Kluyveromyces lactis: one gene and its partners. The protein of the gene in region 2 binds, or shares a complex with, the protein of the main gene of each other region. Links are inferred from orthologs where the notes say so. Each region holds a gene or a part of one and is shown on either strand. Other genes may lie near its edges.

Region 1 (2,884 bases), on a different chromosome or scaffold from region 2:
ATGTACAGAAGGAAGCTCCAGGATCTATGGGGCCCATACGCGGGCTGGGCACAATGTGTCCTTTTCGCACAAGAAATTGGGAAAACAGTTGGAGCAAGTACAAGTGATAAATTAGTGAAAAGACGCAAACTGGACTATGATGCATCTGGAGAAGAAGAAGACTTTAAAGTTGTAGTCAAAGACGAGGCAGAGATCAGTACGGAAGATTCTTTGTCCACGGTTAAAATTGAAGATACTATGTCGATAGAGTATAGCATTACTGGGAGGCCGCTACGGAGAGCGGTAAAAAAGGCTAAAAAGGTCTATTGAATTAATTGACTGCAAATAAAACTCTCTTTAAATACAATTCTTATTCGTCAAATTAAAGTGTTGTCGAAGGAAATTTTTTGTTTTATATTCCGTTATTTAAGTTGGTGTATACATATGTACAGGAAGGCTGGGTTCATCCAAATGGACGGTTACACTTATCTCTTTATACAATCACTTCGATGGCATTAATATCATAGTGTATTAGCGTTGTTTTTTGCATCTTCTTCTTGCAGCTGTATTTCCGCTTCTGTTACCTTTGCCATTTGAGCCTCAGCTAATTTATTAACATATTCTTGAACAGTTTCCAATTCATCGTATCTAGACACAGAGGAGCCATTTTCTCTCAACTCCCTTACCGCTTGACATGCTTCTGCGATGGCAGATTCTGTGTTTTCTGATGTATACAGAAGGAAGGATTCACCTGCATCCACAATTGTATTGTTAGATTCTTCTAAAAAGTTCTTGATGTCCTCGTTTCTTAGTGCAAATTTCTTTAACTTCAATGTTGCAACCGCTTTCAATCCATCCACAAATGTTCTGTCCACTTTGTTCTCATCGATGTACTCAGAGATACCGTATATGGCATATTGAAAACGTTGCAATGATTCGAAAATCTCTTCATCTTCGTTAGCAGGAGCTTCTAAAAAGTCTTTTTCGAATGATTCGATAAATACTTGTTTTTCAACAGCAAATTTCTCATTCGCTATCTTGAATGCCCAGTCTCGTTCGCTAAGGACGTGTCTTATTCTCCACATTGTCGTTCTGATCTTTTCGGAGATATCTTGGTATGCTTCGGTTTGTGCTTCAAAGTTGAACTGCACCAAATGGTTTTCACGTGCTAATACGTTACGTTCTTTCAAACATGTGTACCACAAAGAATGTAGGTCAGTGAACGATTTTCTTCTCAACTCTGGGATGGTCCAAGGTCTCGAAAGCGTATCCAATTCCTCGGGCGTTCTTAAAAACTTCTTCTCGGAGAAAAATTGCCATAAAGGATGATCATCTGGACATGTCAAATTGGCAGCAGCCGGTGGAATAGGAGCTGTAATCTTTAAATCATTATCGTGATGGGTCCTCTGGGTAGGTAGTCTAACGTTCTCTCTCTTGGCTGGTTTGGGTTTAGGTTTGGTGAATCTCGTCCTGGCACATGCTCTAGAAGTAGTATGCAATCCCCTTCTTGCTGGGAACATTTTGAAAATATAATATCCCTGCTATAATAAACACGTCCTGCAGCTACTCAATCGAGGTAGAACACTTCAATATCACGACAGCTAGCTGATTCATCCATGTTTTAATTCCTATTCAGCTTTCCTCTGCTTAAATGTTATAAAAATTTTTTGATCGAACAGAGTTGATTCGGGGTCCGTCATTAGGTTGCCCGGCCTTTGTCATGTGATAGTCACGTGAATATCAGGTTGACTATTGACTCTCTTAGTGAAGCATAGTGCAATAAGATGATAAACTAGCATCGCATATCCTGGCCATCTTTCAACAGGTACAGTATCATTCAAAGATGGTTGGAAACGTGTACCTTCCCTGGTTTAACTGATTATTCTATAATTCAGAGCTTTCCATTGACATCGAAATTCAAAACTTCAACACTTTTTATCAATTAGTACGTTAACAATAATTTGGTGATTAAGTATGTTATGGAGGATGCTCTGGAGTGTGAATGGAACTAAGCCTTGGATTGTATATCGACTACTCTACTATACCTGGTACTCCATTTGATAAACTGACAAAGGAAACCATTCAACCTAACTGCTGTACCCTCTATCAATTGCATTATTGGTTATTGTAAGAATACGACTGCATCATAAATATAGAAGACATACACACTTTACGCCGCAAAGATGTCTGATACGCCTCTGGATCTATTAAAATTGAATTTAGACGAGCGAGTATATGTGAAATTACGTGATGCTCGTGAATTAGTGGGTACTCTTCAGGCTTTCGACTCACATTGTAATATTGTTCTTTCAGATTCAAAGGAAACCATTTATGAACTAGTAGAAGGAGATTTGAAAACGACCGAAAGGTTTTCGGAAATGATTTTCGTTAGAGGTGGTCTTGTGGCCCTTGTAACAACACCAGAAGATGAATGATTGTCCAGTATCCTTCTTCTTCTTTCAACATTTAATAAGGGAAATTCGAAGAAATAACTTCATGTCCTCATTATTGATTGAGTGCGATGTGAGCTATCCTCATTTTGCCCCCAATATACATCCATCGCTAACATTTGTATAGTATATATTTAGTTTATTCAATTTTTTTTTAACTTTCGGTTTACAGTTACTTAGAAACTATAACGTTAATTGCCATGGCTTTGATTTTATGTCCTGCATGTCCACCATCGACAAATGTGGGTAGCGTTTCCTGTTAATTCGTTTTATATACTGTTCCGTCTTTGTAACATGTTTTCTTTGTCGGCATAAGCAGAAGTTGTGGTACCCGCAATTGGCGGTAATTCGTTTTTCTCTTGCAGATGTTGTAAAAAGTCATGACCGTACGCGTAGCCTACTTGGTATATTTCTTCAAACTTACCAAAATCCAAAGTCGCATAGTTCTCAATAGG
Region 2 (2,462 bases):
ATTTGGTATGTTGTTCGATTTGACTCAGAGAAGATGGAAAAGTAGAGGTAACACTTTCCAACCGAGTACTTTAAAGAGAAAGAGAAGAGTGGGGTTCCTAGCAAGGGCAAGATCTAGAAGTGGACAACAGATACTTAAAAGAAGAAAGAATAAAGGCAGATGGTATTTGACTTATTAGTTCTGTTCAACTTTCCAATCAAACCAGGAACGTTATGGAAGCGCCTGATTATAAAGAATGGCTGAATCTCCTGTATATATATCCACATCGTCATTATGTATTTTAAGAAAACGGAACAGTTTTGATTTTAGCTTTGCCATCAGAAAGCTGGCATGACATTAAGATGATTCTATCGGATAGGTTTATAGTTATCAATTGCAGAAGGAATCTTTTTTCTATTAACGATTTCTATGTACATGGGCATTATTTCTGAAGTAAGTTTCATTCTATCTTGACAAGGACAACAATTCCAGTTATTGTTCATAAAAATTGGGTTGCTTTATTAAGCAAAGTCAATCACAATACCAGGACCGTGTGTACTTGTCAGCGTAGTTTGGGACAATATGCTTGGTTTTTTCGTTTGTTGATTGGTGATAGATTGTTTGAAAGCCTTCTGTGTTGCCAACAAGTTCTCTAGAACTTCCTTGTCAGTGAAATGGGTCTTGGCAACACCTAAACTAATACTGTTACCACGTTGTCTGAATGGAACAGAGCTCATACTATCTTTAATCAATGGCTCAAGATCTTCGGCGACGGTTCCCTTCTTGGCAGTTGGCAGTAAACCACGAGGACCCAAAATTCTACCAACTTGAGAAGCAAGTTGTGGAACAATATCTGGAGTTGCAAAAGCCTTGTCAAAGTCGATACTGACTTCACCAGCCTTGATTTGACTTACTAAATCTGAACCGCCGACTAAATGAACACTGTATTTATCTTTCATCAAAGCCGCTTGTGCCTCGTCATTAGTGAAGACAGCAACTTTCACATCTTTAAGAGGTTTGCCGAAGGAAACATTACCTGTAAGAGGGGGGACACCTCTTTCTGCTACCACCAATGTAGTTAACGTGATGGTTTGTTGGCTTGCTGGTTGCCCGACTTCGATTGCACGTAAGTATCTTAGTGCTCTAGAAACTGGCATATACAGTGGATGGTCACTGGCCGGAGTTTTTGCTTGCAATCTTCTTTGAACCATTTTTCTTAGCTCCCTCTTTCTAAGTTGCTCTTTAGTCAACTTAGTACCCGTTTCTTCCGCTAGACGGAAGGACGTTATCTGGAACTGCCTGGTGAATATTCTTGGAAACATCTTGCCGACCCTATTAGCCTCTAAGTAGCGAAATTGGAAAAAATCTCAGGTTATTCAGAGACACAAGTCTTTGAAGTTTTTACGTGAAATAGTTGAAAATTGATTGTATCCTCTCCAAAGGGTAATATAACGTCAACTCGTTGTTCTCATCGTTCTTGTTAACGCTTCCAAGATTTTAATCCAACTAATCATTATACTAAAGCTGAAAAAATTTTGATACATCGACAAATCCGGGTAATATGTAATTGGTATACTGTTTATGTAGGTGAATAAGACGAGGAAGAAGATGAGTTATCTATGATATACAAGGCCCTGGAAAGACCACAAAGAGCAGTTTCACATAATGCCTATCTGCATAAGTGTACCTTACAGCTTCTTCTTTTGTTTTGGTTTGACTTTATTTTCAAACGAAATCCATTTAGTAGGAATACCGTAGTCATTCAAAATAGAGATTACGATTGAACCGTGTGGACCCTGAACCTGGACTTCAGCAGTTTTCGTCGATTTAGACTCACCAATGGTGGTGGATCCGCTGCACTTCTTTCTTAATGCAGCAGCTAATTCTTCAGAGTCAATTTTAAACTTTTCAAAATTAGTGACTCTTGTGATGACCTTCCTACCAATTTTCTTCTCCGTGACAATTTCAAGAGTTGGGATGGGTCCCTTCTCTGGTACTTTGAGAAGCGGTTCACCATTAGGCTTGTAGATTTGGTGGTAGGTGTTGAAGTTTTTTGAGAGGAAAGTGGGCGAAACTATTAGCCCTCTTGCAATTTTCTGTATTCCACCATTTTGGGGAGCTCTGTTAGACATTTGATAAAGCGTATCATCATATTTGACAAGAGATTTGTTCTCCGGATCTATTAGATTGTTATTGGCGACATACAAATCTAGAAGCTTTTTTAACTCTTGTTGAGTGTAGTAACTCTGTGGGACATCGGCGGTTATTCCGGTAATGAATCTTTGGCATGCGCTCATTGGTTTATAAAGATTTTCACCAGAATATGCTGTTATCTTGTTTTTATTTGATTGGTTTGTAGTATCACCTGAGGATTTCTTAGCAATAGTTGCCAAGGTCTTGTAGGCTTCCATGTTTGTTAAATCCTTATGATTCTTGTTTAGCGAGATAACGGTGCAACTGTCATTCTTGCCCTTTAGCTTCAA
Region 3 (2,330 bases), about 470 kb from region 2:
GGATCCCTTGCTGCTGGAATCAAAACTATAATCGTTCTTCAAACCACTGGTCACCTTGTGATCCAATGACGATGGATAAAACTCACTGATATTGGCAGGATCAACATGTTTGTTGAGTATAGATGAGGCAGATCCTGACCTTGAATGTCCAGCAGTGCTACTCTTCTTCTTCAAGAAAGACATATCATCCACGGTTCATCTATATTTAGCGGGACTTTACTTATCAGATACTAAAGTATCGATACCCAGTAATTGTTGCACTAAGCTCTTCTCTTATCGTCTTTCTCCCCTCTTTATTAACGATTAAAATGGTATTAATTACAATTGTTTCTATTTGAATTTATATCTATTCTCTAAAACGGTAAACGTTTCTAACAAATTCGATGAGATGCTGCCACTAAAACATAGTTACTAGATGGTATAGTATTTCTAATCGATCTATAACGACCTAACATTATATTAAACTTTTATTTACACGATTTTGTAGGAGGGTTAGTTCATTAATTGACTTTTAGCTCGGATATTCTCAGAATAGTCAAATCGGCTTTATTGACCGCATGACGCACTTTCCTGTTTCTTCTCTTGGTAACTTCTCTCACTCTAAGCGGGCGTTTTGTCTTCTCAAGAACTGTAGCCTTAATAGTGTATAGAGATGGATCAATAGGTTCGTCCACGAGCTTGAAGTTACGAGAACCAATGGTAGTCACATCAGTCAAATTTAGCACATCGCCGACCTCTGCTTGCTTCAGTTTAAACGGTAAGATAACCTTATCTCCTTCTGTCACCAAGTATGGTCTGTTGTGTATTCTGAATACGGCATATAGCTCATTGGATAACTTCAACGGCGTTAAATTCACCTTCGCTTTTTCTGCTACCGAGTGTGTTGTTCTGATGAAACTTCTCTTCAAAGGTTGAAGAAATGGGCTGAAACCCACCATTTGCCTTACTGGGAGGGCAAACATATGACTGATATTCTTGAACATCGTTTCTGCACTGATTCGAACGACAATTGGCAGATGCAATAGCCCTTTCAATCTGCTTCTTCTCACTTGTCTTAAATGTTGTTCAACTAGTCGTATACTGTTTCAACAGAAAATTTTTTGAGCCTTCGAGAGTTAAGTGTTGATGTCAGTCACGTGACGTGACGTGAAAAGTAGGGCACACACACAGTCATGAGAAGGAAGAGCCAACGGCCACGCCAAGGGACAGCGTCGTTTCATTTGTGCATTCATTCGGGTATGTTACAAATGTTACAGAACTTTTATACATGAGTCAAACTATTCTTTTAATCCTGTGACAATTCATGCAGATTTGCGTTTATCACCGTTCAAGGATCTCATGACCTTCCTTCTTTGGGCAACCATGTGTGAGAATAGCACCGGGAACCCTGGAATGTAGGCTAGCATACCTGCAATTAAGAAATACTTGTACAAGATATTGTATTTTGCTTCAGCCAACGGCAATGCAGAATAAATTATGAACAATTCGCTGCCGACGCCCAATGGATATAGCACGTAAAACATGTTATATCTCAATACAACAAGTACAGTAGGCGCTTGAGCCACCAAGTTGAAGAAGTAGAACATGTACCTCACTATTTCAGCAATACACCATGCCGACAACAACGTGATGTAATATATTTTATGCGCATTTTCTGCTTCCGGCACATACTGGAAGATACCGATGACTACCAAGAGTCGAGAGGCCACTTGAGCAGCAGTGGTCACTAGCGGAGCACGGACTATTCCAAACAAAGAATTTGTGACTTCAATTATAGCACCGCATTGAACGTACGTGACTAAATCCTTGGTAGCAATAAAGAAACTTGGTTGACCGATCTTTGGGTAAAGGGTCACGACTTGATATAGGACATAAGCCCAGGCAGAAGCAGAAAGTAGGTTGTAAAGAGGAAGGAAGGAGAAGATAGAAGCCTTAGATGATGCCATTGGGTGTGAAAGTGTATTGGTGGGCTCTTTGGACTTCGGGGTTCAATTTATTAAGATCCAGTTCGGTTCTAAACAGACCAGTTTTTGTCAATAACAAGAATTCATGGTTTCAGATTCATAAAATTAAGTGATGCATTGAGACGAAAAGGAAGAGAAATCCAACAATACCCAAATTAACAAATTGCAGTATGTATTGATGACATGAGAATTAAGATTTGAATTAGTGTTACTCGTATGTTATTATTACTATTACTATTATTAATATTATTACTACTTGAACTAACGATAAACAGAGGAAAAGTAAATGTTTATTATATATCAATTTGTGTTGATAAGGATTCGTGTTTGGGGATAAGGCTGCATTGTTAATCTGTATCATGTGAG
Region 4 (2,312 bases), about 1.0 Mb from region 2:
AGCAATTTATCAAAGAGCGTGAAGCGCAGCAGAAGGAAGTCGAGAATAGCTCTAAGCAAAATAATAAATCTGGCAGTGCTAATACCAATAATGCTACTGCCGACGAAGGTAAGAATGTCAAGGATAAACCAATACTAGCAGAGTGGGAGAAATCACCTAATTTGCACATCTTCAATATAATGTACGATTTAACACCCCCTGACTACATCAAGAAGATCATTACAGAATTTGGTTCGTTGCCACCATCTTCTGTTCCCGTGGTTCTTAGAGAATACAAAGCATCAGCTTGAATGGAGCCCTTTGCATATATAATATACGATAATATCATATAATATAGTAAATGAAAAATTAGTATAGATCTTCTTTTTTATTAATTGCGTAGTAATATTCAACATCGTAGGTTGTTTACTTAGGTATCGGCTTCATCGAGGATATTGCTATATATATGTACAAGTTAAGCTATGATCTCGATATTACCATTCACAAGTCATTTTTTCGATTCAAACCTTGTGTCTGATGGCTGGGCTTAAATGTAGTGGAGACCAGATACCTCTCACACTATCGTTCAAAGTATCCACATTGTCGTTCTTAGTTCTGTGACGGAGTTGCTCACCAGATGCGTCTCTGATTAGTTTTAACTTATTCTCTACATTATCAATGTTCAGATTTTTTACGCAGATGGCTTTATTACGGCCATTAACATAGTCACCTTTTATAACTGGATGGCCAGACTTTCTTACTATTTCGAACTGTATTGTTGGATATTTTTCAGCCCATTGAATCATTCTGTTAGACGTTAGGAAATCTCTCAAACCCTGTGAGGAACCACCCCAATTACAGTATTGCAAAGTGATCTTTTTACATGGAAGCACAAAAGCGCCAACACCATTTCTTGCGATAGAAGTTTGTCTCAAAACTTTAACAACCATTACTTCAGAGAAATCTTTATGACCGCGGGTACCAGCTCTGATTAGAAAACAAGTTGGGTGTATTTTGAAACTGTGGAGAGATCCTTCAGATGCAGAACATAGATTCACTAATATATCTTTTGAGTTTTATTCGAGTTTTCAGTTCATGATTATTTTTTTCCAATTTCAAAAGACCATCAGTCACGTGAACAAATCTGTATGTATTCGAAGGTAGGAGGACAATTCACCACATGCTCACACAAATGAAAAAGATACTGGTACCAACACTGCTATAAGGTGACGAATGTAAATAATACAGAACCTCTTTCCGACTATATTCTGTTTCTTTCACATTGCTATGTCAACACATCCTCATGAGATGTCATACGTCATGTAAACTTGATGATCTGTCGATGGGTTATGACAATAATGCACTACCAGCGTTTGGTTAAGGGTACTTTTACTGAGCAAATCCATAGAAAGTACGATAGAGGCCCCAGATTCTGATCCAAGATGTCCCAAAGGCTTCATATGAGGTTAATTAAATAAAGGGCCTGATTTGCGTTCACCCATGGAATGTACGGATTGACACCTAGCGTATGTTGGATGCACACTAGTAATTTGTTAAAAAAATTATGCACATGCGTCATTTAAACCAATTAACTGGGCACTCCCTATTAAGTGTGATGTAAGTGTATGACACTTTGTTCAAGAACAGGCAAATGTATTGCCATAATAGTCACCAGTTTATCATTATGGTGCGTATAATGTCCCTATAACTATTGAAAAATTAAAGTTCTATGCGTTTTTTTAAGGATGCGTATAACGATGACCACCCCTAAAAAACATTCACTTGTAAGTAGCGAACAGTCAAGGTTTGTATCCGTTTCTTTAATTTATTACGGCGTTCACTGAAGCGTTTCAACGATGCAGTATAAAATGCGACAAAAAAATTTAGGGAAAAAAGCAGAAGAATACCATACTAATTAACTGGAACTTGGTAATTCATCAACGGTAAATACTTATAAGGTGTTAAGAGTTTATTAGCGTGTCCAAAGTAACATTTGTATTATATAAGAAGGGCAGCAAATGGCACTTTTTTACTACCATTTTCATACCTTTTACTTGCACCTTTATTTCATGTCATTGAAGAATTCTTAATATACATAGTTTTCCTTCAGATTAATTAAAGATTGAACACCCTCGAACAACAACCTAACTTTACTACGCTCATTAAAAACGATTATAACGCTAAACTTGGTTCCCTACCCATACATACCTTTTGAAATTATTTTCTCTGTCACTAAACAAGAAAGTTTCAAAACGTCAGTTTTCAGAAGCTTCAATACCTCGCTACAGAAAAATAAAATCATTCATTGGATCCAACTTTACGTCTATCCTTAA

What was found. Proteins that work in one complex are often made in the same cells at the same time.
Region 1: MRPL1 (region 2) and MRPL4 share a complex: the UniProt entries of both Saccharomyces cerevisiae proteins name them as parts of the mitochondrial large ribosomal subunit. The link is inferred for Kluyveromyces lactis from reciprocal best matches to the Saccharomyces cerevisiae genes MRPL1 and MRPL4.
Region 3: MRPL1 (region 2) and MRPL49 share a complex: the UniProt entries of both Saccharomyces cerevisiae proteins name them as parts of the mitochondrial large ribosomal subunit. The link is inferred for Kluyveromyces lactis from reciprocal best matches to the Saccharomyces cerevisiae genes MRPL1 and MRPL49.
Region 4: MRPL1 (region 2) and MRPL51 share a complex: the UniProt entries of both Saccharomyces cerevisiae proteins name them as parts of the mitochondrial large ribosomal subunit. The link is inferred for Kluyveromyces lactis from reciprocal best matches to the Saccharomyces cerevisiae genes MRPL1 and MRPL51.

What each region holds. Positions count from the first base shown.
Region 1 is NC_006038.1:467,767-470,650, forward strand, and holds MRPL4 (mitochondrial 54S ribosomal protein uL29m), read right to left. Parts: upstream 1,500-2,884; coding exon 501-1,499; downstream 1-500. Other genes in the region: 8-oxoguanine glycosylase OGG1, read left to right, coding at 1-309; U4/U6-U5 snRNP complex subunit LSM3, read left to right, coding at 2,163-2,414; NTE1 (lysophospholipase), read right to left, coding at 2,699-2,884. UniProt on the Saccharomyces cerevisiae protein: Component of the mitochondrial ribosome (mitoribosome), a dedicated translation machinery responsible for the synthesis of mitochondrial genome-encoded proteins, including at least some of the essential transmembrane subunits of the mitochondrial respiratory chain.
Region 2 is NC_006042.1:1,782,997-1,785,458, forward strand, and holds MRPL1 (mitochondrial 54S ribosomal protein uL1m), read right to left. Parts: upstream 1,302-2,462; coding exon 501-1,301; downstream 1-500. Other genes in the region: MRX14 (mitochondrial 54S ribosomal protein bL34m), read left to right, coding at 1-178; TMA64 (Tma64p), read right to left, coding at 1,668-2,462. UniProt on the Saccharomyces cerevisiae protein: Component of the mitochondrial ribosome (mitoribosome), a dedicated translation machinery responsible for the synthesis of mitochondrial genome-encoded proteins, including at least some of the essential transmembrane subunits of the mitochondrial respiratory chain.
Region 3 is NC_006042.1:1,308,974-1,311,303, reverse strand, and holds MRPL49 (mitochondrial 54S ribosomal protein bL21m), read right to left. Parts: upstream 984-2,330; coding exon 501-983; downstream 1-500. Other genes in the region: mitogen-activated protein kinase kinase kinase BCK1, read right to left, coding at 1-183; enoyl-CoA hydratase PHS1, read right to left, coding at 1,302-1,946; SAP185 (Sap185p), read right to left, coding at 2,312-2,330. UniProt on the Saccharomyces cerevisiae protein: Component of the mitochondrial ribosome (mitoribosome), a dedicated translation machinery responsible for the synthesis of mitochondrial genome-encoded proteins, including at least some of the essential transmembrane subunits of the mitochondrial respiratory chain.
Region 4 is NC_006042.1:776,644-778,955, forward strand, and holds MRPL51 (mitochondrial 54S ribosomal protein mL43), read right to left. Parts: upstream 930-2,312; coding exon 501-929; downstream 1-500. Other genes in the region: GCD2 (translation initiation factor eIF2B subunit delta), read left to right, coding at 1-290. UniProt on the Saccharomyces cerevisiae protein: Component of the mitochondrial ribosome (mitoribosome), a dedicated translation machinery responsible for the synthesis of mitochondrial genome-encoded proteins, including at least some of the essential transmembrane subunits of the mitochondrial respiratory chain.